Drosophila melanogaster: one gene and its partner. The protein of the gene in region 1 interacts with the protein of each later gene in a pairwise test. Each region holds a gene or a part of one and is shown in the gene's direction. Other genes may lie near its edges.

Region 1 (16,349 bases):
GCCGACAGCCGTCGCAATTGCAGGCGGAGAGAGGACCGCAGTACTCCGGCTGGCAGCAGGAGCACTTGAGCTGCTGAGCGCCGCAGTAGTGCTTGCCATCGTCGCCCAGGTAGGATAGTTGTCCGCGGGCATTTAGGAGCGGCGCGGTAGGCGACGAGACCAGCTCGCAGTCCTGGATCAGATGGTTCCACAGTACGGCGCCGTCGGCGGCGTTGCGCAGGGAGGCGATGAGATCGGCGCGCAGCCACTTGGCGTCCAGAAAGGGCAGCGGGCGCAGGTAGAGATCGGGCGAATGGCTGGGCGGTGCTGCTGATCCGGAACCTGATCCCGATCCAGATCCTGCTGCGGAGCCTGCTCCTGCCGCTGCTCCACTGGCACCTCCACCCCCTCCTACTCCAACTCCAGCGGAGACTGGTGCTGCAGAAGCGGTCTGGCTGGACCCAGCACCCTGGCCACTGGATCCGGCTCCTCCGCTCGCCTGGCGGTTGAACATGTTTGTGTTTTCGTGTTGCCTTCCCTAGTGCTCCACCGCCGAAGTCAGGCTAGAAACGAGCTCGACCACAACCACAACAACGACAATGGCATGGCACAGTTACCCCTTCAAGGGGGGTGTGGTGGTGGGTTGGAGCGCGGGTGGGGGCGGGGGCGAAGGCGGGTCAATGTCGTCACTGGCACACACACTAAGCACACGCACACGCGCGCAAGCACACACACAACTGCAATCGGGCGTCCAGGATCAGGATAATTCGTTGTTATCCTTGTCCGCACTGCTCATTTCGTTGTTCCGCTCGGAGTTAGTTATGACATCCTGACTTTTCCACCCGCACTTGAACTCTCCGTTTTCCGCGCTTGCTGCTTTCGGGTCACAATTGGAAGTGCCAGTTACCAGTACAATGCAATTTGAAATCAAGGAATTATTTTAAAATGAAATAAAATTGTTTGATGGCAATCGATATCAGGGGGAGGTGCAAACTGACTGAGCTATCAAGTAATCGATATCAGGGGGTCGAGCCATCGATATGTTTTGCCTTTCGATAGCTCTTCAGTGTTCTTAAGTCACAGGCTTGTGTCACGGATTAAAACCCAGTACAGTGGAAGCTGGCTATTAGAAAACGTTAAGCCAAACTCATAATGAGTTCCCTAAAATTCTGTAAATTTGTAATTTTTAAACATTAGCCTAAAATGTACTTGATTCTAAAATCATTTACAATATCATTCGGTTATATTACTCTTTCGTAACGCAAAAAAAGAGAACGCACATAACAAATTATTGAATACTTTTATTGTACTATTACGGTCGTTTTATTGCTAAAAGTATTGCATTTCAATTTACGTGACGGTGTGTACAGAATTAACTTTATAAATTGTTGAAACTCAACAAAGCAATACTATATTCTGTAATTTCCGAATATTTCTATTGGAGCTATCCAATCCGTATATTGAAAAAATCACTTTCGCAAATAGGATGTTTAGGAGTATACATATAAAGTACAGATTCTACAGATAATAAGAAAATAATATTTAAAATAAGTATAATTCTCGGACATGTAACGGTGCGTTCAGGCCAGGGTGACCAGTTCGTCGTGGCGACTATCGGTATTCTGGGCGAGCAAGTCAGCGGGCACACTGCGCTGCTGTGTCAAAACGAAACTGGAAAAAATCTGATTGAGTTTTCAGCGGACTTGGATCAATCCTTCCAATCCCCAAGAAATCGGGAGCAGACGGCCAGGATGACGTCGCGCAACCTGACGGAGGTGTTCGTCATCATGCGCAACAATGCGTCCAAGAACCGGAATCACTACGACGATCGGGTGAGTGCGTCTCCGTCTGGGGTCTTCACTGTTATCATCAACTAACATATGTTTTGCGTTTCTCCGTCTTCCAGAGGGGCAGCGATGCGGAGCGCCTTCTAAAGCACTCGGTGCGCGAGGCGGAGGAGGGACTGGAGCTGCAGGACGACTACGGCACGCCGCCCGCCTGGCTGGACAAGTTCGAGGAGGCGCAGTACACCATGTCTAAGTGGGTAAACAAACAGTAGTCCATGCGCAGGGTTCAACTTCACTCCCATCACTCGTTTGCAGGATCAAGCCTAAGCTGGATGAACTGGGCTCCCTGCACGCACGCCACCTCCTGCGACCCGCCTTCGATGATCAGCGGGACGACGAGTGCGACATCGAGGTGCTCAGCCAAATCGTCTCCAAGCTGATCACCTCCACGCACCGGCACATCCAGTGCGTGCGCAGCAGCATCGGCGTGGGCAGCAAGATGGAGCAGTGCCTGACGGTCAACGCGGTACACTGCGCCCTGCTCCAGCTGCAGGAGCTGACGGTGAAGTTCCGTGCCAGCCAGAATGCCTACCTGCTTCAGCTGAACTCCCGCGAGGAGCGCTCGCAGAAGTACTTCGACGACGGCGGCGGCGCTGGCGCTGGAGACGTCTTCACAAACGTGGAGCTGGGCGAGCAGAGCGCCGAGAACTTCGTCGACTCCTTCGACAACTTTCTGCAGCCGCCGGCGGAGGGCAAGTCCGGCAACGGCTATCTGTTCGAGGACGACGAGCAGGCCATCGACGATCACTTCCAAAGGCCGCCGGCCAGCCGGATGACCCAACAGCAGCTGCTGCTCTTCGAGGAGGAGAACACGCGGGTGGCGCAGCACCGCGAGCAGGAGGTGACCAAGATAGTCAAGTCCATCTACGACCTGAACGACATCTTCAAGGACCTGGGCCACATGGTCCAGGAGCAGGGCACTGTGCTCGACCGCATCGACTACAACGTGGAGCAGACGCAGACGCGCGTCTCGGAGGGATTGCGCCAGCTGCACAAGGCGGAAATGTATCAGCGCAAGAACCGCAAGATGTGCGTCATTCTCGTCCTGGCGGCGGTCACATTCTTCATGCTGCTGCTGCTCATCCTGACCAAGCTCTAGTTGCCCACGCGCCTCCAGTGGGCCGACCTCATTCCCGTCATTCGCTGTGTGTGTTTGTGTATATTGTAAATGTTTGAATACATGTTATTATATTTATTATTTATTGCTAATGCTAAAAAAAAAACCGCAACTACTCCCTCTCAAGTCGAACTCCACTCCAGTCCAGTCCACTCCAGTCCGCTCTCCCAATCACATGCGCTCCGAGAGGCGCGAGGCGACTGCCCGCAGGTTGCCATACACCTTGCTGGGCGGCGAGCCGAGGATTAGGTTGCAGACGGCCCGGCGCGCAAGCTGAATGTTCTGGTAGCTGCCCAGGATGTGGATCTTGCTATCGGCTAGCACGATGCGGGTCTTGGTCACGTTCTCGATGGTGAATTTGGTGCGGCCGCCCTTGCCGGCGAGGCGGCCGATGGCGCGAGACTGGTGGTCGCCGCGCAGCGTCTTCACGTCCTTGATTTCGAACGACTCGACGAACAGGTCCTCCAGACGCAGCAGGGCCAGGGCGTCGTCCACCTCGAAGCCGCAGAGAAAGGCGCGCACGAAGTCGGCGCCGCGCTGCAGGTTGGCTATGTCCGGCGTCTCGGGGCCCACACGCAGCTCCACCTGGCGCGCCTTCATGTTGAAGCGGATCTGCAGCTTCATGTGCTCCACCACGGGCGTAAAGATCTTCATCCAGTGCTCCTTGAGCGAGGAGTACCTGTGTGGCGGCACGGATACCTTGCGCAGCTCGCTTCTGGCCCGCTTTGCCTTGGGCGGCGCCGATGCTCGCGAAGATCCCAGCACCTGGCCCTCAATGCCGGTCGCCTCGTCCACCTGCATCTCCACGTCCTGCTGCCCGCCTCCGCTGGCTCCGCGCTTCGTCGCTCTCTTCGCCGGCTCGAATGCGTCTGCTCTGATGTTCTCTGCCTCCATGGTGCAATCTGTTGTGCTTTTACTGCGTTGTTTCCAATAATTTCTCAATCCAGCTGCTTTGTCTGCTCCACGTGCTCAGTGTGACCGCGCTCGAATCTGAGATTTCAAATACATCTGTAGCTGAATACCACACCACTGAATTTCGACGAAAATACCAATGCGTATGTACAATTCTACACTGGCTAAAAAGTATGTAGAATGTAGAATTCCGAAATATAATACGCCTGAATTCTTGATAAGAAACATCATTGGATTTGAAGGCTGATTGAAGTGCGAATTCATATTTGATCACTCATTGAATTATTGCTGTTTCAAAAGTAATAATTCAAGTACAGCCTAAAGCTATAAGGTGACGTCACTGTCATATAGAACAACACAATGTAAATTCTCAAAAGATGGCAAAGGGTACCGAAAGGAATAATGGTTTCTGTTAGGCCCATATATATGTATATATATACTGTTATATATATACTGTTAATATATAATAACAGTATATATGTACATATATACTTAATCTTAATTTTGGAATCATATTCAGATAACTGTTAATCAGCTACAGACGAGTGGGATAAATATAATTTAAATATATCATAATAATTTTATAATATATATAATATAATTAAATATAAATCATTTTTGCATAATTATTAAATGCAACCCTTTCATTTTCAATCAATCAAAAGGTAGCCTATTTTTGACATTTGGTTTGCTTTGGTCCCTATTGAATTCAGTTCACATCTAGAACCCGTACCGGAGAAACCATTTCCATGTCACAACGGAACTTCAAGATGCCAAATCCGAACAACGAATCCCATTCCTATTTCCTCCGGAATATTCCGGAAGAATTGCAGCCTCAGTTTACGCGTGGATTCAATCAGTGGATGGGCAATCAGTCTACGATGACTAAGGGTTTGCCATCCAATACAGTGAATAAGTCTGCCCAGACGGCATCTGTCAATGATGGCAACTTGCAAGCTAGCGTGATCGCAATGCTGGCAGGAATGGACTCGATCTTGGACATGGAGCAGCCTAACAGAAGTCCTTCGCGCGAAGAGCACGAGCGCCTAAATGAGCTGTTGTTCAGCAGCAATTTGCTGTGAGTTGAAGTAATTCGTGGTGAGAGTCCTGACATAAAGTTCATAGTTTCATTAGCATGCTGGACGTAAAGAAGCGAACGTTTCCCGTGGAGGACCCAACTGGGTATTTAACTTCGGTTTCAGAGCAAAATCCAGATGGGAATCCGTTGGCTAAGCGACTAAAGCTAGAGCGTCCTCAGGGCTGGTAAACAAGTCTCACGAGGAATTACCTTCATTCTACACATATTCAATCATACATATCTTTTCAGACACTAATGACCAATGTCTCTTCCTCAGAGTCTCTCAACCATACAGGACATTAACGAACCATTAAATAAATCACTATAAAAATAAATCACAAAATAGTTCAGAAGAGCCGTTTTATTTTACCAGTTAAGGTCGGTAATTGAAAGAGTTTCGCAAAAGAGGCACGCAAAAAGGTATACATACATAGCTCATACACCTTTAGCTTAGTAATGGGTATCCGATAGTCGATGGTCGACGTGGAGTATGTGCATATGTATATGTGACTTTTTAATATATAAATATACATATATGTATGTGTTGTGTGAATATAAATTCGTTTATAATTGGGGAACGGCATTAGAATGCGAAAAGGTAATATTATTAAGTGAATTTAATGTCAAAAAGGAAACCATGAGTGTCCTGCGTGGCATAGCAGCTAGCTTTTAGGCCTGTGCTCGCCAATCGTTATCGAAAGATGGCAATCGAGTAAGCGGGTAAATTGAAGTTTAGCCGCAGGCGGGTATTAGGTTTTCAGATTAATGGTGGTCAGCGTAGGCGGCGCTCCTCTCGCAGCCATTAAAAGTTTCTGGGGATGCAATGGGACTTACTTTTGCATCAACCGCAGCGATAAGAAGGCCATTGCAATGCCTCCTATTGGCCTGCACTTGAAGCAAAGTTAAGTAAGCCAAAGTGGAGTTAAGTAAAGTTAAGAGCGAGTAATGCGGCCACCGCAGGCAGGCGATAATCTCAAGCTTGCAATTGCACTGGCAATTTGTTTGTTATCTTCTCCGTTTCCGGTTCCCCACGCCCTTTCTCGTATTTCTTCTCTTCCACCTCCTGACCCTTTTCCGGCCTCTTGGGAAACTTTTCCATGAGCATGAGCTATTTGAATAAGTACACTGGACAAAACTTGCTTAAGAACTACGGAGTATTGAAGATGCAATTTATATATATATAAAACATACATACTTAGCATCTGCTATCTATTCGGATATTGCAGACTCCATTGAGATCCAGTTTCTATTATCTAAATATTTTTTTTTTTTTTGTTTTGGGGTTATTCAACACACTGATGTGGTTTGAATATTTCAAAACTTGGTACGTTGAAGTGTTTATTTTCTTTGTAAAAATCTTGATTTTGATACAAACTTACAAATGGTTATAGTAAGAAGTGGATTAACCAGAAACTTTTCGAGTCAGTTAACGATGCACGTTTTAAAAAATAATTGTGTATAGCATCAGAATTTACCTACTCCTTTCATTTCGATCGGTGTCCAAATTGTTGATACACTTATCTGGGCATTTAGGCATTTGAAACTGGGACTGCATATATCCGCCAACCAGCTGAGCTCAGTTCCTTCTTTTTTTAACAGTGCAAGGAATTCGTGGGCGATATGAGTGCAAATTGCGTTGGCTTTCATTTGGCATGCACTCATTTGGGTTATCTGCTCGCCCACTTAATAAGCTTAATGACTCTCGAAGCCGTTGGCTGCACATGATTTTGCCAGCAAAATCGCCTAAAAGCGCTCGCCGCTCGAGTTGCGCCACGCCCACTTCAGCCGCACCGCCCACCTCGGAGATCCTTGGTAGCCTTGGTAGCTCCGAAAACGACGACGAGCGCGAGATGAAAACGCGAATACACGCGCAAGGGCCTCAAAGGTTTTGAACGAATTGCACCAAAGTTATAATTAGTTGAGCTTAGATTCGGGCCAGGACCTCAAAGGCGAGCATGTATCCTGCGTCAGCCACACGGGAAGTAAATCAACAACAGCTACGCCCAAACTGAAGTACATATTTCGCAATTAGGCCGCGATACTGCCGGTCTGTTCGACATTGATTTGGTCAAACGCAGATGTGCATTGATGGCTACGACCGCAGTTTGACTTTGACTTAAGTGTATGCACATTTGGCCAGCAAAAGTCATATATACATACATATGTTTGTACCTTTTTAATACTCCGTGCCTGAGTCGCAGTCGCAGTCGCACCCTTGTTTCGCCAGGATAAGCCGCTTAAGCGTCGCCTATTGCGGCTCCTTCTTTCCGCTGCCACTTTGCTGGCCATTAGTATAAGGTCCTGCGACACAAGGTGATGCTGCCCCGACTATTTGCCAAATCCTATCACTTTTGGTCCAAATCCTTGCGGCTCGAAAGAAACTGAGGCGATGTGCAGAACAAAAACAGTGTCATCCTGCAGCGGTATAATGGACAGACACTAACACGGGCATCATTAGCTGAATAACCATATTTATATATTCACCGTCCCATTTGCGGGTAGTTCATTGTGGCTTCTCAGGTTGAAATGAAAAACGTTCCATGTCTTGGGCCGGATCATGGGAACTGGACAGTCCAGATTTTCAAAGAGGCAACTGGCTTTCAGCACCCAAAACACATTGTTGCCACCTTCATTGCGGGTAAATACGTTGCTAGTTCCTCGAACTCGGTGTAAGACAAGCTTGGTCGGGCCAAGTCTGCAATTCGACATGATTGCTCCCAAACATCTCGCCCTTCCCAACAAAACTATAATATAAGATGGATTCGTGGAGGGAGCGTCGCGGGCCTCAATCGGAGACGTGCTCCTCCATCCGTCGCGTCCAGCTCATTTGGCGCTCGGCTAATCGCGAAAAGCACACATCGATTACGGGGCACGGCTCGGAGGCGGGGATGGGCGGGGCTCGAACAAAAAAAAAGGAGGCAGAAAAACGGCAGCAGAAACAGAAACCGAAACAGAAATAGAAACAATTAGCACGGAGCAGGACGTAATTGGCGTGCAGTTACGGAGGCTGATTAAAGAAGCAATCATAAAATTAAGACCCATAATCCTGTGCAATTTGGACAAACACACACACACACGCACACACACGAGGAATGGGTATGGCAGAGCAGAGTATCGCATGGAATCGAATGGAGGAGCAAGTGGGGGAATCCCAGGAACACGAAGCCCAGTGGAAGCTAATAATAACCGAAGGAAAGCAAAGCACACGGCAGCACAGGACCAGCACGGGAAGAACAACAACAGCACCAGCACAAAAATCACTTTACACGCTCCAAATACGAAGCGTGTACGAAGTGTGTGTGTGTGTGTGTGTGTGTGTGTGTGTGTGTGTGTGTGTGAGCGTGTGTGTCAGAGGCGTAGACGAAGGGGTAGCCCCACCAAGTCCGAGTTCGCAGTGCAGCTTAATGGCGAGAACTTTAGCTCCAAATATATCCCCAAGTCAACTGTAATAAAAAAATTAAATTTGTTACTAATTATAAACTCTTGCATACCACTGACTTTGAACAAACGAGCAGCGAAAATAAGTTTATTTTTCTGATAAATTTGATATGTTTGAAAAATAACAATGATTTAATTTGTTTGGTATTTATTATCTAATATCCATTGAGATTTCAACTATTAGTTGTCCTTTGCTAATACTAATGCATAAATATTATGTAAAGGCATAAGCCATCCGATACCCATTACATACACAAATATAAGTATATAAGTTCTTTAAGAGGCAACCAGTGTTGCAGCTTTGAGTTAAAGGCCCATTAAAGGACCCCCCAAAAACACAAGTTGCCACTGCCCCTGGCGTGTCCGTATAAGTGTGCCGGTGTCCGTTGTCCGGAGTCTGAACTGCAGTCCCGTTAAAGGACGAGACGAAGAAGTTGCTGCTGCTGCTACGTGCGGCGATTTGTGCGCCTTATAATTCCGTGCCACAACAGCCACATCAGATCCAGGAGCAATATGAAACCTTCATTAGCGAGCTGGCTGCGGGTGGAGTAGGAGGACCGGGAGGAGTGGGAGGATGCCGATGCCGACGCCCGCACCACCGCAACGGATTGAAAACGCTTCCGGCCATACAAATTGTACGTGAAACGTGAGAAATTAATTTCCAAGGTGGCCACACTACAGCCCAGGCCTCCACAACGATTTGACCCTGTCTGTGAGCCGTGCATCGAAATTCCGAGGGGACTTGTCCTTGGCTATCTGCATGTTGCACACTTGTACATACATACATATGTATGTTTAATGTACCTATATTGATTTAATTAAAAATCAATGCTAATAACTTGCTTACTTATCCATTCATAACAGTCAACCCCATTCGGCGGAATGTAGCGCTTCTGGCAGCTAGTGGGGTAAGAAGGTTTGGGGCCGCCATCTATGTTCGAATCCCAGAACTAAAATTGGGGCAGAAGAAGAATTCTTCGAGTCAAGAATTTCGGATTGAAAGAGGCAACAGAGCTGATTTACAGTTCCATGGGAATGGCGGTGGGACTTAGAGAGAGAGAGAGAGAGAGAGAGATGGGTTTGGCCGGAACCCGAAGGCCAAGATGGTTTTCTTCCACTTCTGACGGTCCGGCGAAGCAACGGACGCGGCTTTTCCGGCATTATTTTCACTTTGAGAATATCGTGGATGTGTCGACGTAAATCTTAAGGCCAAGTTGACGACCGCGAAGGGATTCCGTAACTAGACAGCTAGCTCGGTCCGGTCCGGAATAATTTTTTTTTCTCTCTCTTTATTTACAATCTGTCTTAAAAAAGTATGACAATAAGTAAATCTTATAATTAATCTTAATCTTAATCATTTAGTTCAGGGGTCGGCCAAGAAAAAGAGTGTAGTGCAGCCCAAAATTGAAGGGCATTTAAGAAGAAAAATGGAATAAGCGAGGAGAGCATTATTTCGTTTTTTATCGGTAAACTTTTCTTTATATAAGCCTTGAATTCCACAGGAAGATCACCCGAAAGCGCTTTCGTCACATAATCGCGCTCCTGGTCCCACGGTGCGGAAGGCTAAGCCTAAGTATTAGAAATTAGGATCGTATTCAAGGCCAAGGTCTCCAGCAGATCGGAATGGTGCAATTGATTTTCAAGGGCAGACTTTTTTCTGCAATTTAATTTGTCTTTGCAATTTACAGATTGATACCGCTTATTTCTTTGTTTCTTTTTGGTCCGTTTAATTTTTTACTGCTGGCCGTGCACACTCACATATCTCCGAAAGAAATGTATGTTTATTTTTAATTGATTCTTGAGGTGCCAAAATTGTCTCTCCACACTAGAATTTTTTCCATCTAAGTTAAGTATTGATTTAAAGGGGGATCGAAATCTGCAAATTGTAGTATTATTATTGACGGTCTGAATTTTATTAAGTTTCAATTAACATGCATGATAGCTGTAAGAGATTTGATTTGTGCTAATATACCTTTTTTGATATTGTTTTGAATGCCTATGACTATGATTTATTCTCTGTGAGCCGCGCTTAGCGACCAAATATGAATATCAAAGAAATTCTATCAATTTAATGACAGCAAATGCATTTTAGTTTCATACATTTCAAGTGATTGTTTTCTTTGCAGAAGGAGAAAGAACAGGATTTCTAAGGAGGTGTCGTCGAAGTAAAAGGTACGTATACTGCGATGCGTCTACGTTTATCAAATGCCTTGGAATGTTGTACGCTGTGTGTTCCATACCACGCCCGCCAACTCCTGACCACCTTTACCGCCCACTTTCGGCTCATCCCCTCGCTTTTGCGGCGTGGAAAAAGCGCAAATCAGCCACAATTGCCGCTGACAGACGCAAGCATCCTGCTTTGGCTTTTGTGTGCGTCATGTGAGTGTTAGTGCTTGTGTGTGTGTGTGTGTGTGTGTGTGAGCATCACTTTGTGGCTGCCTTCAACTCTTTTCCAAATCCTCCTGTTTCACTCTCCATCTGTCTCCATGGGGGTGTGCGCGCTTGGCTTTGACATTACTTGTGCTGCAAGCTGACAGATTTTCGTTACGGCAGCATTAAATTGAATTTTGACATTTCTTTGCATGCATATCGAAATAGGCGGCCACCGAAAATCCCATCCGTGGTGCAGTGCGGGTTGGTAAAGTTTTGAGAAAACTAAAAATGCCGCAACAATAAAGGGCTCACAAACAAATGGCAGTCTAAAGAAAAATTATGGCAAAAAGCCGTTTCAATCTACTGCTGTCCAAGTCCCCATATCAATAGTTCCATTAAAAGTTTCATGCTACGCCAAAATGTTTTCATACGCCATTAAATAATAATAATAATGAATAATAATGAAAAATTTGGATATAATTTTGTATACTTATTATAAGCAACTCTTTCATTTTCAATATTGAATTCAGTTCACACCTACAAACCGCACCAGAGAAACCATTTCCATGTCACAACGGAACTTCAAGATGCCAAATTTGAACAACGAAGCACGTTCCTTTTTCCTCCGGAATATTCCGAAAGAGGGGCAGCCTCAGTTTCCGCGTCGATTCAATCAGTGGATGGACAATCAGTCTAACAAGACTAAGGACTTACCTTCCAATATAGTGAATAAGTCTGCCCAGACTGCACCTGGCAAATTCTCGATCTTGAACTTGGAGCGGTCTAGCAGAAGTCCTTCGCGCGAAAAGCAAAAACGCCTAAATATGCTGATTTCCAAAACCAACTGCAGTGTGTTGCGCGGGTGAGTTCAAGTGATTCGTGGTGAGAGCACTGACATAAGTTTGATGGTTTCAAAAGAATACTGAACTCAAAGAAGCGAACGCATCCCGTGAAGGACCCAACTGGGGATCTAACTGCGATACCAGAATAAAATCCAGATGGGAAGCCGTTGGCTAAGCGGCAGATGCTGGAGCCTCCTCTGGGCGGGTAAACAAATCTCACGAGGAATCATGTTTCATCTACACTTATTCAATCATACGTATCTTTTCAGACAACAGGAGATTGGGACCCTCAACAAGACTAACGCCTTGGAAAAGTCGATGAATTACCAACAAAATGATAGGACAGTCGACTGATTAGGTCAGTTTCCTTCCACAAATGCAGGGAGCATGCAATAGGAAAAAAAAAAACTTTAAAAATGCAGATAGCTTTGAATTTGTAAGACTAGCTTGTATCGAAACAGCTGTATACTAATTGCTTATAATAATTTATAAACCGCCAGTGTTACTTTTTAGTTTATTTTGTTTGTTCGGAAGATGGAATTCCATCTCCGTAGTTTTTGCCTTTATTACCTTATTTGCCTTTATCCAAGAGTCCAATAAGCTCGTCCTTTACAATCATAAGGTCCTCGAAGGTGTTGCACCCTGTAGGAATATCGTTCACATCGCGCAGAAGTGCGTGGACTGTTGCAGGATACTCTAGGTGATGATCGTCGGCGAGTTGCTTAAGAAATCGAACAGCCAAAAAAAGGCGACGGTACCAATCCCTGAGTCATCGTCAGTAGGCGAAAATGAAGCGGCGTGTCATTCTCAGTCTTGCTGTCCAGTTTGATGACAGCAGCACCACGATGTAGAAGCAAGTATCTGGGGCCTCTTTAAGCTGAGCCGATGTTACTTGTTCCATATGTCCATGTTGCAAGTAGTCGTCCAGGAAAGCTTCGTACTGCTGCTTCAATTCTGTAGAACAACGAAATTTCCGTTCCAGCGAAAACAGGCGATTGATGGCCTGTGGCAAGGTCGATTCAATAGGCGGTGCCATCTCTTAGAAAGGTTACTCGACGACATAAACCCCTTTCGTCGAGCGCTAATGGGTGGCAGCAAAATAACGCTCTGCAGGATCGTTAGCGTCCAAGAGAGCCTGATTAGGTTGAATGCTGTCCATCTCTATGAATGAACGAACCATTGTGTCTAGGTTTGCGTGATGAGTAACAGCAATATCAATTATCGCAGGCAGAATAAAAACCCTCAATAAACCAATCCATTCTCTTGTGAATAGAGACCAGAGCTGAACCGATCCAACGATGACATCGACTGCTCCTGGTGTGCCAAAGGAAGCTCGCAGATTTGCTTCCAAGTAAAAGATGAGGTGAGTATAAACGAGACCAATTCGAGAGATTCTCCCGATTGACGAGAGCGCAGCTGGATATGCCCGCGCTGTTGGCGACGACGACCGAGAATAGAAATTCGTGCGAGAGTTCGACGCAGGCCTATTCGCTGAACAAATGATTCCGATGCCAAGGTTATTGTAGATCCAGTGTCCAAGAGCAGCCTGCAGGTTGTAGTATTGCCATGACGTCGGCAAGGATCGTTGGCCACAGAGTCTGAGAACCTGCCGCCGGAATATTACCCACGGCATGATGCTTAATGTTGTTTTCTGCGGCAGGCTTTTCTGTAGGAGACTCGCTCCCCAAGTGATGACCTTCACGAACTAGCGGTTGATTGTGGCCAATTGTAGATCCCTCGCGTGAGACTGATGGTCAATCACGGCTGTCAGCACTTGCTAGTTTCCATAAACCAAAAAAATTAGCCAGAGATCCCGCTCCTCACAGTTAAGAGCTTGTAAACCACGAATAACTTCGTCTGCACCATCGGCAGTCATCGAAGGATCATAAAAACTGTTTAAGAATTACCGAATAATTAGCGATTGTTTGCTACATATATCGCTCGTCCAGTCGATGCCATGCTTCCCGATAGTTACCCGTTCCTCGTAGAGTAAAATGGTATACTAGATTCGTTGAAAAGTGTGTAACAGGCAGGCACCATAAAATTTATTAATGTATATATAGTTTGTTGACCCATTGACCCAATTGCCACGCTCTTACGCCCACAAAATGCACAAAACTGCCACGCCCTCACTTTTGATAAATGTTATGATATTTTTTCACATTTTTTTTTACATTTTTCTTGTAAATATCTATCGATTTGCCAAAGAACTTTTTGCCACCAATATTATATATATTCCCCAATATTTTCTCGATATCCAAGAAAAATTATGAAATTTTGCGTTTGCTTTCACGTTAGCTGAGTAACGGGTATCAGATAGTCGGGGAACTCGACTATAGCATTCTCTCTTGTTTTTTGTTTTGACTGAATCATTATACCCCCAGTAAGAGCAGGCAAAAGCTTAGTATTAGGAGCATTTGAGAACGACTTTCTCACTGAGTGCCGTTTTTTTTTTTGGTTCCCGTGAGCACGCTCGTTAACGAGGATTTTGAATCAAAGTGCATTTTTGCGAGTTTAAGGAGCTTTTTATGTTCTTGCCGCTTTTAATTGAGCTGCAAAGAAGAGTGAGAAGGAGGGCGGAACAGCGCTGAATTTGTGATTTTCTGGCGGCATGCCGACAACACGAATCCGAGTGTTTAGACTTTGTCGAATTAGCCATTGTGATAACATTTATGAGCCCGCCGCTCAGGGGTTGTATGTGTTGTGTTGTGTTGTGTTGTGTTGTTCTTGCGTTCAGCCGGTGCTCCATCGCACTTAATTGGGCAAGCGATTGCCTGACTTGCTTACAAATGTGTGTTTGAGTCGTCGGAGCCAAAAGATCACCCATCTCCCATCACCCATCACCCAGAACCCAGAAAAATGGAAAATGTGGAGTTCTGAGTGGATGGGGGGCGTCACGCGCTTGAGGACACGCGCACGTATTGAGCATGTGTGTGAATATTGCACGCGATAAATTATTTTAAAGCGCGCTTCCCTTACCGCTTTCCATTTCCCATTTTCCGGCCCTCTGGGTCGACCCTGCAAACATCTATTTAATATAGCGCTACGCATCAGTTTTAATATTGTTACGATTTTATTTACGCACATGAACATTTATAAACGTTTATGACATGTCATCCATACAGGCCATCCTCCTTTAATTCCGCTGTTTGCCTTCGGTTTGTGGGTCGACACTACTCAAATAATATTTATTGTTTCTGATTTTTCTTTAGTCATTATTATTACGCATATTTATTATGCATTTATTAATTTGTTTTGCTGTGGTTTTTCCCCACCTTCCACACCCCGACGAACGGACAAACGGACAAACAGACGAACGGACACATACGGACACATACGGACACGGACAGGGGAATACGGATACGTCAGTGGGCAGGTTAAACATTTTCGTTTGATTTGTTATCATTGTGGACCGCGTTTTTGCTGCTTTTGTTGCTGCGGCTGTCGTGGCTCGATGATGGCGTTTGTAATTTCGTTTTCGGCACTACGTAATTTATTAACTTTTCATTGAAAGTTATGTGCAAACGCACGTTGACGACATCTTTAATTAATTACATTTTAACATGATAATTAATAGTGCCGCGTGCGTCGACAGGCCGACAAAGCCGCCAAAGTGCCGAGTGCCAAACGCCAAACGCCGAACACCCCAAATGCTAAATCAATCGATGGGTGCTGGCTCCATACCCACCTAGAAAGCCACCTGAATCCGCCCGAACCCATGCCGAAATCACCCAAGCCCGCGACCTTAAAGCAGTCCGATCTTGAGTTAGGTTATGGCTACGTGCCGGCGATACGAAGTTGGCTCGGCTTTAAAGCCAAGCCCATCCATCCATCGGGGAGCATCGATAGCCATAATAATAACAGCGGGCACAATCAAACACACTCAGTACAAAGTCGTGGGCACTGATGATGACCATAATGATACACAAACAATTGCCAAGGAATTTCAATTCAATTCCCTTTAATACCCATCAATTGTGCACTTTTCGGCCGTGTTCAATTGCCTTGTGTCAAGTCTAAAGAAATAAGTCTTTCGTGATTTTCAATTCGAATAACGCTTAAAGAGGGTATATTTTTGCATGTAATGTATAAAGTTCTTTTAAAGGTATTTTTTAAGGCATATTTAAAATCCGACAACAATATGAATTTGACTTACATCAGGACAACATCAATAGGGAGTATTCCTGAGTCCGGAGAGAGTTGCCTCCATGGCGAACCATTTCCACTACTGCGTTTGTACTTTCTGTTTTTCCGCATCTTGGGTGTGTGCTTGTGTTTTTTTATCATTCCGCCTTGTTCACAGGACTCTTCGTCCTGCTGGCCGCCCAAGAAAGTTGTTCGCACAGTAGCAAAGATTGAGTTCTTATTCAATTTGTACGGATTTGTTGTTCGCCGGTCCTTTTGCAGTCCGCTCTTAAAGCCTAACCCCAAAAGCCTCCACACCACCACACACCCCCCCAGCTCAGTTGCTCCAGGTCCTGTCCAGCCACTCATCTCGGCCAATCCCAATCCCCAATTGGCCCCGGCTCGAGCCCACTCAACTTCTCATTCTTCTTCGGCTGCTCTATTGGAATTTATTTCATATTATTTTCGTTGGTCATGCCACAGTTTGGCCCCGTCAATATTTCTCCCTACCCCTTTTCCTAATCCCAACCCTAGAACACCAAAACCCGAACCCCCGAACTTAAACCACCGGCAATACAAGTTGGCACTGGTCGGCATTGTTTTTGGGGTGCGATGGCAAAAGTTCTTCGTGTTGTGGA
Region 2 (10,854 bases), on another chromosome or scaffold:
CACGCCGGCTACTATTTTGGTGTTCAGCTCGGAGTCTAGGAACTTGCGCTCCGAGGCCGTCAGACTGGCCTCCGTGCCACTGGGTGTCTTTGTGAGCTTGACGGAACTGTATCCCTCGATGCGGAATATGTCCTTCGTGATGCGGTTGATAAAGTTCACTAGGTTTTGGCAGCCCTTAATGTGATTCTGCAGTGGATTGTTAGGCAGTGCGATCTTAAAGATGATGGCAAGATAGCTGTAGACAATGGCATCAAACTCGCTGTAGGTGTCGCCAAAGAACCACACCTTGCGACCCAATTTCCGGGAGAGCAGGTTCACCACTTTTTTGGCATTGACAACGAGCTGTAAAGTAAAATGATTAATTGATAGTTAAAGAAACGTCTTGCTTTTCACAACATTGATAAGATATATTGATAACAAAAGACCAATACATGAGAAACTGTTTCTTATTAATATAAACTGATGAAACGTTTCCAATCGAAATGCAGCTTGGGTGTAAAACATAGGTTAGATAAACAAATTAAAAAATCCTCGGATTTAAAGATACAATAATGTAATATGAGACAATATGAAATTGAAAGCACTCACGTAGTCGCCTTCGTGCTTGTCCAACTTGTCGTTCACATCGAAACCGGCCATCACCTGAACCACGTCGCAGGCTTCCCTTTGGTAGGACGACGGGTAGTAGAAGTTGAAGGGGAATGGCGTGCGCTTGGCGTAGAGGCCCCGCGTGGTTGTGTCAAAATTGTGAGGCTCTCCAAACAGGAAGTAGTGGTAGTAGGCATGCAGATTGGTGAACACCCAGTTGGCGTAGGCGGTGGACAAATGCTTTTGTTTAGTGCTTAAATGCGCATCTATCGGGTAACCCTGAAAGAATACGTCGAATTAAGCCCATAAAAAAACACATATCTATAAATAGAGCCTGCAGTTTGTTCACCCCGGCATTGTTTTGCTCACTCACCTCGAGATCCAGCACGCGCTTAATTTGCCTATAGCCCGCGAACTTCTGGTTGCCGATCTGCAGATACGGCAGCTTCCCGGCTCCCGAACGCAGCGGATTGGAGCTGGTCTGCACGTCCATGGGGCAGCGGGTGAATCGCAGGAGGCACTGTTTCCGGCAAAGAGGCGCTTTCATCAGTTTCTTTCATCATCTGCGATAATGGGCAAAACAGGCGTGCTGGCCGCCGTGTGATGCAACGGAACTTACCAGAGCACGTAAACATTCAAAATCTATGGACGGCAGTCCGTACTCCCCCTTGTACACATACAGCATGGCTCCCAGTTGCATCTCCATTGTGTCCTAGTCTATGCTTTGCTCGTACTCTTGTATTTAGCCGGTTTTCAACAGTCCACCTGCATATCAGCCATCCGAATTTGAATCCAAAAATATATGCCAGAATTTCTGGCCGACTGCTGCGAGTGCTTCAGACTGATAACTACTGGGCACTCGATATATCGCTCGAGCATATCGGCGCTTTATCGATTGCCGGCCAGGGATGTTGCTACTCGAAGTTTATTTTGGCTAATGAAAAGATACGGAATTATGTTTGAGCTTAATTGCTATTTATGTTTATCTTTATTGCTATTTTTATTATACTACCAAAAAATTGTAAGTTTTTATCTATATGCATTTTTACATATTCACATTATTTTACATTAGCTAGATCTAGCGAATGTTACCCAAATGTTTGGTCACCGCTGTTATCACGGAGCTATCGCAATTGGGGCATCTCCAACCCATCTGTTTGCGAAAAAAAACATTAATTTCTGATTTTCGCAGTAAATTAGTTAGCAGTCATGAATCTGATAAGCGGCATTAAGTTGTACATCGAGAAAATGTGCTCCGAGTCGGGACCGGGCATGAAAATCATTCTGCTGGACAAGGAGACGGTAAGTGCAAGGACTGACAATCAAATCCCCTGCCATATGATCAAAAATTCACATCATTCGCAGACCAGTATAATTTCGATGGCCTTTAGCCAATCGGACATGCTGCAACGGGAGGTGTACCTATTTGAGCGCCTGGACTCGGGAAGATCCAACGAGCGGTTAAAGTATCTAAAATGCATCGTCTTTATACGCCCCACCAAGCAGAACATCCAGCTACTGGCCAACGAGTTGCGGAACCCCAAATACAGCGCCTACTACATTTGTAAGTGGGTCAGTAGAAGCACCTTCGGAATAGTACTAAACTCATAAATAGATTTCAGCAACATCATTCCCCGGACGGACATTAAATACTTGGCAGAGTGCGACGAATCCGAATCGGTGCGAGAAGTGAAGGAACTGTATGCAGACTACCTGTGCGTCAACCCCAATCTGTTCTCATTAGGCATTCCCAATTGCATGGCGAATCTTAATTGGCTGCCGGACGCTCTCAACCGCAGCATGCAGGGCATCACAGCCGTGCTGTTGTCCCTTAAGCTGAACCCAGTGATCCGGTACCGAGCCGGTTCTCAGGCAGCGCAGCTTCTGGCCAAGCTCATATACGAGCAAATCACAAAAGAGTCCTCGCTATTCGACTTTCGCTCCAACATGGATGGCGCTGCGCCACCGCTGCTGCTTGTGCTGGACCGCAGGGACGATCCTGTGACGCCGCTTTTGCATCAGTGGACATACCAGGCCATGGTGCATGAGTTGCTGCACATAAAAAACAATCGATTGGACCTGTCCAATTGCCCCAATGTGCCGAAAGACTTCAAGGAGCTGGTCTTATCCGGTGATCAGGATGACTTCTATGGCAACAACATGTACGCCAACTACGGCGAAATCGGATCTACCATCAAACAACTGATGGAGGAGTTCCAGCGCAAGGCGAACGACCACAAGAAAGTGGAGAGCATAGCAGACATGAAGAACTTTATTGAGTCATATCCGCAGTTTAAAAAAATGTCTGGCACTGTGCAAAAGCATTTGTGTGTGATTGGAGAACTGTCGGCGCTGAGCAACAAGAGGAATCTCTTCGAGGTTTCCGAACTTGAACAGGAGATCGCTTGCAAGGCGGAGCACTCGGCCCAGCTGCAGAGAATCAAAAAACTAATTGCCGACGAACGGGTTTCCATCGATGATGCTCTTAAGTTGGTGGCACTTTATGCATTGCGATACGAGCGACACGCCAACTGCGACACATCTGGACTGCTGCAAATAATCAAAACGCGCGGTGGACGAGCGGCTATAGTGCCATCGTTGATTGAGTATGCTGGAACCCATGTACGACAAGGAGATCTCTTCAATATGGTGCGGATAACGGACGCCGTAAAGCTGACACGGAATTTGATTAAGGGCCTTAAGGGTGTGGAAAATGTCTTCACACAGCACACTCCTCTCCTGAAGGAAACTTTGGAGGACGTGTTTAAGGGCCGCGAGCTGGATCCCCTCTTCCCGGCCATCAATTCAGAGCTTGTGCCATTTCGACGACCACCGCAGGAGGTTGTCGTGTTCATTATTGGCGGTGCCACGTACGAGGAAGCCTTAGCGGTGCACCAGTTAAACAACGCCGGCTATAAAGTCATTCTTGGCGGCACCACCATCCATAACTCGCAGAGTTTTATCCAAGAGGTCGTGGCCGCCACTAGTGGCATTCAGTTTAAGCACACCAAATCCATGATCAAGTACTGTTCCACGGATAACATTTAAAGTCTATTTTGACTAGATAGCCCCAATTATATTGTTAACTATTTATTAACTAAATATGAATGTGCATTATGTATTAAGGTATTCCATGCATTGTACCAATTCAAATCCATTGGACTATTTAACCTTTTAAGCGTAACCATGTAAACATATTTATTGTTATTCTCGAGGGTAACACCAGGCAACGCCTTGGACAAAATGTATTATATACAACTATGTGTGTACAAAATTACTAAACTCTCGTTGTCCTTGCAATAATTCCACCCCGTTTCGGCAAAAAGTTCCTTGGCAACTCCCAGGCAACGTTTCGTTTGGCTCAAACAAGAATCTGATTTTTCATTGGAGGAGTATCATTGACCATCATGTCCAGCACATATTTCAATGATATCTGGCACCAATCCCAGCATGAATGCGAGCTTCTATCCACGATTGACTATGAGAGGCAGCACCAGGATGTGGAGACGACGGTGGCCACCATGAATGCAGCGGTCGGATCCGTCGCCGCCGATGCGGATGCCAAGGCCTTGCTGCAGTCCAGTCTGTACGAGTTCTATCTGCGCTACATATGTCTGAGCAATCGTTTGGAGGATGTCTATGATAATGTGGGTATACGACTTTCTTAAACAAAAGTGGGATATATATAAGGAGATGATATATCCTTTGACTCTGGTTTACTTCTCATCTTTCATCATAGATGATTCAGCCTCAGAAGCGCCAGTTGGTGCGTAAATTACTAGACGCCTGTCTGGGTCGAGTGGTGGAGCTGAAGCACGATCTCGTAAATATCGACTTGATGGAATTTAGCTACAACGACGAGGTGGTGGAACGCCTGCGCCTGACGCCCATGGAAACGGAGCTGAGGATACCACGCTACTTTCTGCGCGAGCGTCAGCAGGAGCTAGAGTTTCGAAAGAAGACCATGCATGAGATCCTAACGAAGCTGGGTTGGCTTGAGGAGCACGAGCTGGAGGAGACGGTTACCACCGAGATCGAAGCCATTAGGATGCTTCAAATGCACGAGCGAGCGCGACAAGGACGCTTGCGTGCCCACTTCATGAAGGAGATTCGCATCCTAAAGGAGAAGGGCAAGTCGGAGGAGCGCACCGAAAAGGAGCGCAGTGACTCTGGTCTTTTGGCTGCCATGAAGATTCAGAAGATGTGGCGTGGCCACACAGCCCGACGGATAACGCGGCGCCGCAAAATGGAGGAGATGATCCTAATCGGAATGCTGCCACCACCGCCGGCTGTGGTTAAGGAACGAGCCGAGAAGCTGGAGAAGCTGCAACACAACGAGAAGCGCTACCAGGCGCAAGCGTTTTACGGCAAAGAGTTTGAGGAGCGACAGAACGCACTAAAGGAGGAGATTCGGGCCAAGCACGGAGCCAGCATGAAGGAGGACATTGCCGATGAGATTCGGGCTTGGGTAAAGGACTGCTACGACAAGACTGGCAAGCTGCCGGACTTTCCATCCGAGGATCAGGGCGGCTCATTGCATATTTTCAGCAGACCTGGAACTGAGAGCGAGCACAGCCGTTCGTCGGCCCGCTCCTCCAAGGAGTCGCGAAAGACCAAGGATAAGTCCAAGTCACCCGCTCGCAGTGGTGACCTCAACGTCAACGAAAACCAAGACGAGGAAGTTAGCTTCCAGCCGGCACCGTCCGTTTGCCTGCCAGACATCCGTGCGGAGATCGATCTGTGAGTAAAGATATATAATAAATTGATCCAAATTTAATCTTTTTACAACTTCAGGTTTAACGATACCTGGCGTGATAAGGATGAAACCGGTGTGCTGAGCCAAGCGGCCTATGAGGACATGATCTACAGCGACAAGTACCAGGAGGTGGAGCTAGAATTTCGGCGCGCCGTCGACGATGTGATGCGCCAGGAGATCGAGCTGCTCCAAACGGCCGTCGGCAAGAAGGTGAAGAAGAGCAGCAAAAAAACTCGGCGATCCGGCAAGAAGAGCAAAAAGAAGAAGGAGAAGGATCTAACGCCGGATCGCACTACGGAGTCGCTGTACGAGGAGCTGGTCACGAATGGCATAATCCGGAAATACCCGGAGCTAAGGCTAAAGCAATTCCTGGGCGATAAGGCGTTGACTGCCAGGATTGGCACTAATCCCTCACCGGGCGACATTCGCCAGATTCTCACGGAGTACTGCATCCTTCCACTGGGATCTGATGCCATACATAACTGTACTCCACTGATACGTTCCATCCTGTTAGCTGGCCCCAAAGGATCTGGGAAGAAGGCACTGCTCCACGCCATTTGCACGGAGGTGGGTGCCGTGCTCTTTGATCTGACTCCTGCCAATATTGTTGGCAAGTATCCTGGCAAATCGGGACTGATAATGCTAATCCATCTGGTACTGAAAGTGTCGCGACTGCTCCAGCCTGCGGTGATATTCATGGGCGATGCGGAGCGGCCCTTCATGAAGAAAATTCCAAAGACGGATCGCACAGATCCCAAGCGACTGAAGAAGGATCTGCCCAAGTTGATAAAGAACATTGCGCCCGAGGATCGCGTCGTTTTCATTGGCACTTCCAATCTGCCCTGGGAGGCGGATCAAAAGCTATTGCAATCCGTCTACAATCGGTTCATCTATATTCCACGACCGGATTACGGCGCCATGTCACATGCCTGGAAAACATTGTTACAGTGCGTAAATGTGGGGGATTCATTTGCAAAATAATCTACTGATTTGGTTTGCACCCCGACAGCGATTACTCTGGTGGCATTTCCAATCTGGACACCAGCGCCATGGCCAAAATATCAGATGGCTATACCATTGGGTCCATCGATGCGTGCCTCAAGGAGGTGATGACCTGCAAGCGGAAACTCCAGCTGCGCACCCAACCATTGACCAATGCCGAACTGATCAATGTTCTGTGGTAAGTAGATTTGGCTATGAAATTAGTTAGTTGTTAGTTTCCATGCCTTTCAGCTCACGAGATCCCGTCTACCGCGAAGAGGAGGAAGCTTTCGAGTCCTGGTGGTCGAAGACCCCGCTCGGCCGCCGTCGTCAGCGGTTTTTGGAGCTGGAGGAGGAGCGATTACTGGAGGAGCAGGCGCAGGCGGCCAAGCAGGGAAATGGTAACAAGAAAAAGGGTCTTAATTAAAAGGTAATCACTGGACTTCTTATATTTAAGCCTAATTTGTAAGGAAACATCTTTGGATTGCTAATGGTAACCATTCATTCAACGCTATGGCTTGCTTTACAATCTTGCTTTTATTAGCAAACTACAATTTATATGTTCATATATATGAGCTAATATGGAACAGATTACATTTTTGATACCTAATAAAGTCAATATATATTTTCCACTACATTCCAATTGAAAGATCAGCATGCATAAATATTTATGATTCAGTTAAAGACTGGCAATATCCTATTTCAACGAGTAGGTAAAATCCTTGTTGCCGCACTTTAGGTGCACCTCATTGACCGCCAGGCAGAGTTTGTCCTGATCATCAAGGAGCTCTTTTAACTCCGTGAGCTTTTCGTTAAGCAGTGTCTCCTGGTCGCCAACGCACCAAAGAAGGCTGACGTGGAACGAGGCCGGATCATAGAACTGTTGCAGCCGGTAGTCGAGCATCACTTGGTCGATGGGCTGCAGAATGGCAGTCATCTTCTCCACAAATGCAGCGTCCAGGGGCGCAGCAATGAAGGTCCTGGTTCGCTCCTCATTCGTGTAGATCCGCAGCCCCTGCAAAGTGGCGGCGAATCTAAAAGAGGATTGGTCATCAGGATGGGAGATACTAGATTTAACTTGGTTAAACATCTCACCCCGCAGAGCTGTTGAGGGCGCTTTGCAAGGATCGGGAGAATTCATCGATCTGATGGTACTGCAGCACCACTGTTCGACTCAGGCTCAGATGGAGCGACTCGTTCGGCTGCAGTTCCAAGTGTGGCTCCAGACGAGCAATGGCCTCCGTTTGGAACTCCTCCAGCTGGTCAACACATGCTGTTGCCGGCACATAGACGTAAGTGGCCCAGTTTCCCCGTTCATGCTTGAAACTACGCATGCGGCCGCCATGTTCCGCGGGATCATCCACCACATCCTCGACGAACTCCTCGGGCTTGGGCTTCTTGGGGCCCAGCAGGGTGGCTGCTTTGGGTAGGGCCGGTCTTTGGCGGTTATAATGTAGAAATCTACGGGTATTCCAGTAAAGGACGTTACCTTTTCAAGGTGATCAACGCGGGAGTTTGAATGTTTTCGGTGCAGTCCTCATCCTCGGAGGCGGAGGAGCTGCTGCCACCATAGTCCACCAGGGCCATATTATTATTTATTTATGTATTTTTATTTGATTGCAGTAAACAAGAAATGACCAACAGCACAATGTTCGGCGGTTTTTATTTACATTTATCGATTAAATTGAAAGTGATGTGTATTTAGCTTGGTTTTAAATTTATGTTGATAAACTATTTTGTTTTAAGCAATTAAATTGCAATTAATAACATTAAAAAAAAGTTATAAAATTCACTTTTAATTATTTAAATAGTACTTATTTTTTTAACATTTTTTTACTGTAAAATTTCCACTTTAAATGTATTGACCGTTAAAGCCTTAAAACTTGTTTTTATTTAGACTAAATCCATTGAAATGCACAAATTGGACTACTACAAACTGGCTTCAATAGCCGGGCATTGCTCGCCATTTTTCTCCAGCCTCGACTGCTCCCACTGGTAGTTGTAGTACCTACCCAATTGGAAGAGCTGCGTCAGACTCACGAAGAGATTAACCGCGAACAAGCTGTAGTTCTTGGGAATGATCACCAGAGAGTAGCGCGTCCAGATGAGGTTCGTTGCCCCAAGAGCCAGACATCCGTTAGGCGAAATCTTGTCCGCAGGACGCGTCAAATCACTGAGACCCGCGATAACGAGGCTCTGTGGTGGAATATAAACGGAATGGTTGCGGAGATTAGGGAGATCTGGCCGATAGTGCAGGGTAAGTCCCCCCATTGACTGCAAATCTGAATAGCATGTTGGCAAAGCTCCCCCCAGTCAAAACAGTAAAAGTATTATGAAATATTCCATGAGCCCCACAAACCGCACAATCATTCAGTTATCAGAATCTCGCGCGTGGAGAGGAAAATGGTATATAAGTACATATATACATATTTATCGCGGGCTTGAACAGGTTTGCCGAGAACTAAACAAATAATAATAAAACACAATATTCGCCCACAGGTTTGTTTATCAGTACGGTGATAATGGGAATTGGCTAAGGACGCAGGGTTCATGGTTATGCAAGTAGTGCAAAAACTTACCCACTTAACGATTGGAGCCCAAAAGAATATGGTCTTGGGTCCTGAAGGAAAGATATGTTAGTTCCTCTCTGTGCTTAAAATGCTTCTATTTATGATCACCTGCTGGGTGCATCCACAAGGGTCGCATCTTGGGGGGCACATACTTGTCGCAGGCCTTGATAAGTCCATTATATGCCCTGGAGTGAAGACCCTTTCCGGCGGAAGCTGCAGCCGTGGGCGCAGGTGTTGTTGGAGGAGTGGCAGACATTCCGGAACGCTACTGTTTTTCCTATATTTTCCAACGTCCAACCAATAGCAGATGCACAGAGTAACTGCTGGTCAGGTTTGCGAATTGAGAGGAATTCTATATGGCCTACCTGTAATCAAGTATTTGTTGAGTATGGGCTGATTGATTGGAAGCGCTGGAATAACAATCGCCTGGGACTGCGATAAACCAGTTGGGAAGTAGTGCTCCTGAACAAACTGAGGCACAACAGCTCCAACCAGGCGTCCATCTACAACTGAGCTTTCCGAAAAGTCCGGGGTCCATGCACATATGTTTATGTTTCTCTAGTATTATTAGCTTAGCGCTCCTGTTATCACCAGCACTATCAGCCACTGGAATACGACGACGCCAGCCCCTTTTTTTGCACTTTGCTTTTGCCGCAAAACTAATATAAGCTCTTAGTTATATTCTCCTTTTATTGGTTTTTAATTAATTTGTGTTGACTAATTGTGTAAAACTCAACACAGTTATCGAACAGCGAATGTGCAAATAGATTCATCACACATGGCGTATGAGTTATCTTCTTGATAATCCGGTTTTATTGCAATCTAAGGATTTCTACTCTTTTGCAATTATTGTAATAACAGCTCATTTCATTTAAATCAGTCAAACATAATTGTATTAAATCAAAGAATAAGATATTGATTACCTTTGCCTTTTGGATATGTTTTCCTAATTTGGCATACTTAAAATAATACTTTTAAGAAAATATCTTTTAGCCAGTTTGGTTCATTTATATTACTGAATATAACCCATTGTTGGGCCACCATGTTGGGCCACATCCACTTTAATAAAACGAACAACTACGTTTATCTAGTGACTAAAGTCTTAAAATGTATTGATTTATCATTCTCGTTTCGATTTAACTATACGCAAAGCCTCCACAGTTACAACTTAAGTAATACGAATCACGTCGATAAGGCGGTGAACCATAAATAATAATGGTTAACAGGTTGTAAAACGCAGTTTCGCGATCTGCTAGTACAGCTTCCTCTTAATCCTTTCGTTTACGTTGCGCGTTGTGGGATTTGTATGTACATAAAAGTTCGATTAAAGTCTATATAAAGGGGACAGCACCGGTATTCGATTCGATATGTATCTAATTTTGCACCGCCGGCTGCTGCTGCTCCTGCTTCAGCTTCTCCTGACTCTGGTGGTAGTGGTAGGCCCGTGCCAGCTGCACCACCTGCGTGATGCCCACGAAGAGATTCACGGCGAACAGGCTGTAGTTCTTGGGTATGATCACCAGCGAGTAACGCGACCAGATGATGCCCGTGGCAGCCAGGGCGGCGCATCCAGACACGGAGATGGTGTCGGCCGGTCGGGCCAAGTCACTCAGGCCGGCGGCAACGAGACCCTGGCAAAGGAGATAAAGGATTCGATTGCTTATTTAATTTTTGTTTTAACTAAAGGACGCGATATGCTTAGGCATCTTCAGTTTCTATGTTTTAGTGCCGCTATGGGAGATCTCAACTGGCTGTTCTTTGTTTTATTTATTTGTGGCTTGATATATGTATGTACATAAGTATGAGGCATCTATATGCCTACTATCGAAACAAACAAACTAACTAAATAAATCAAAAGTTTTTGATTTTTTTGGGAAACTTTTTTTCATAGGGTTCCACAACAGAAGGCAATCCGCTCACGAACACAACCGTATGCGGTTGTTATCAAGCGCAGGTTGC

What was found.
Region 2: the proteins of Syx16 (region 1) and Vps45 interact in a two-hybrid assay, tested with the Drosophila melanogaster proteins (2 studies listed by BioGRID).

What each region holds. Positions count from the first base shown.
Region 1 is NC_004354.4:20,379,024-20,395,372, reverse strand, and holds Syx16 (syntaxin 16), read left to right. Parts: upstream 1-1,621; 5' UTR 1,622-1,730; coding exon 1,731-1,811; intron 1,812-1,885; coding exon 1,886-2,019; intron 2,020-2,081; coding exon 2,082-2,925; 3' UTR 2,926-3,039; downstream 3,040-16,349. Other genes in the region: HERC2 (HECT and RLD domain containing protein 2), read right to left, coding at 1-493; l(1)G0004 (lethal (1) G0004), read right to left, coding at 3,115-3,837; jb (jean-baptiste), read left to right, coding at 4,605-4,933, 4,990-5,118, 5,183-5,183.
Region 2 is NT_033777.3:9,562,229-9,573,082, forward strand, and holds Vps45 (vacuolar protein sorting 45), read left to right. Parts: upstream 1-1,695; 5' UTR 1,696-1,797; coding exon 1,798-1,890; intron 1,891-1,953; coding exon 1,954-2,152; intron 2,153-2,203; coding exon 2,204-3,636; 3' UTR 3,637-3,864; downstream 3,865-10,854. Other genes in the region: CG9393 (uncharacterized protein), read right to left, coding at 1-342, 589-867, 962-1,108, 1,208-1,294; CG16789 (uncharacterized protein), read left to right, coding at 3,996-4,235, 4,328-5,328, 5,383-6,291, 6,354-6,524, 6,578-6,752; CG16790 (uncharacterized protein), read right to left, coding at 7,023-7,359, 7,421-7,762, 7,815-7,912; CG9396 (uncharacterized protein), read right to left, coding at 8,255-8,521, 8,905-8,945, 9,004-9,151; CG9399 (uncharacterized protein), read right to left, coding at 10,269-10,526.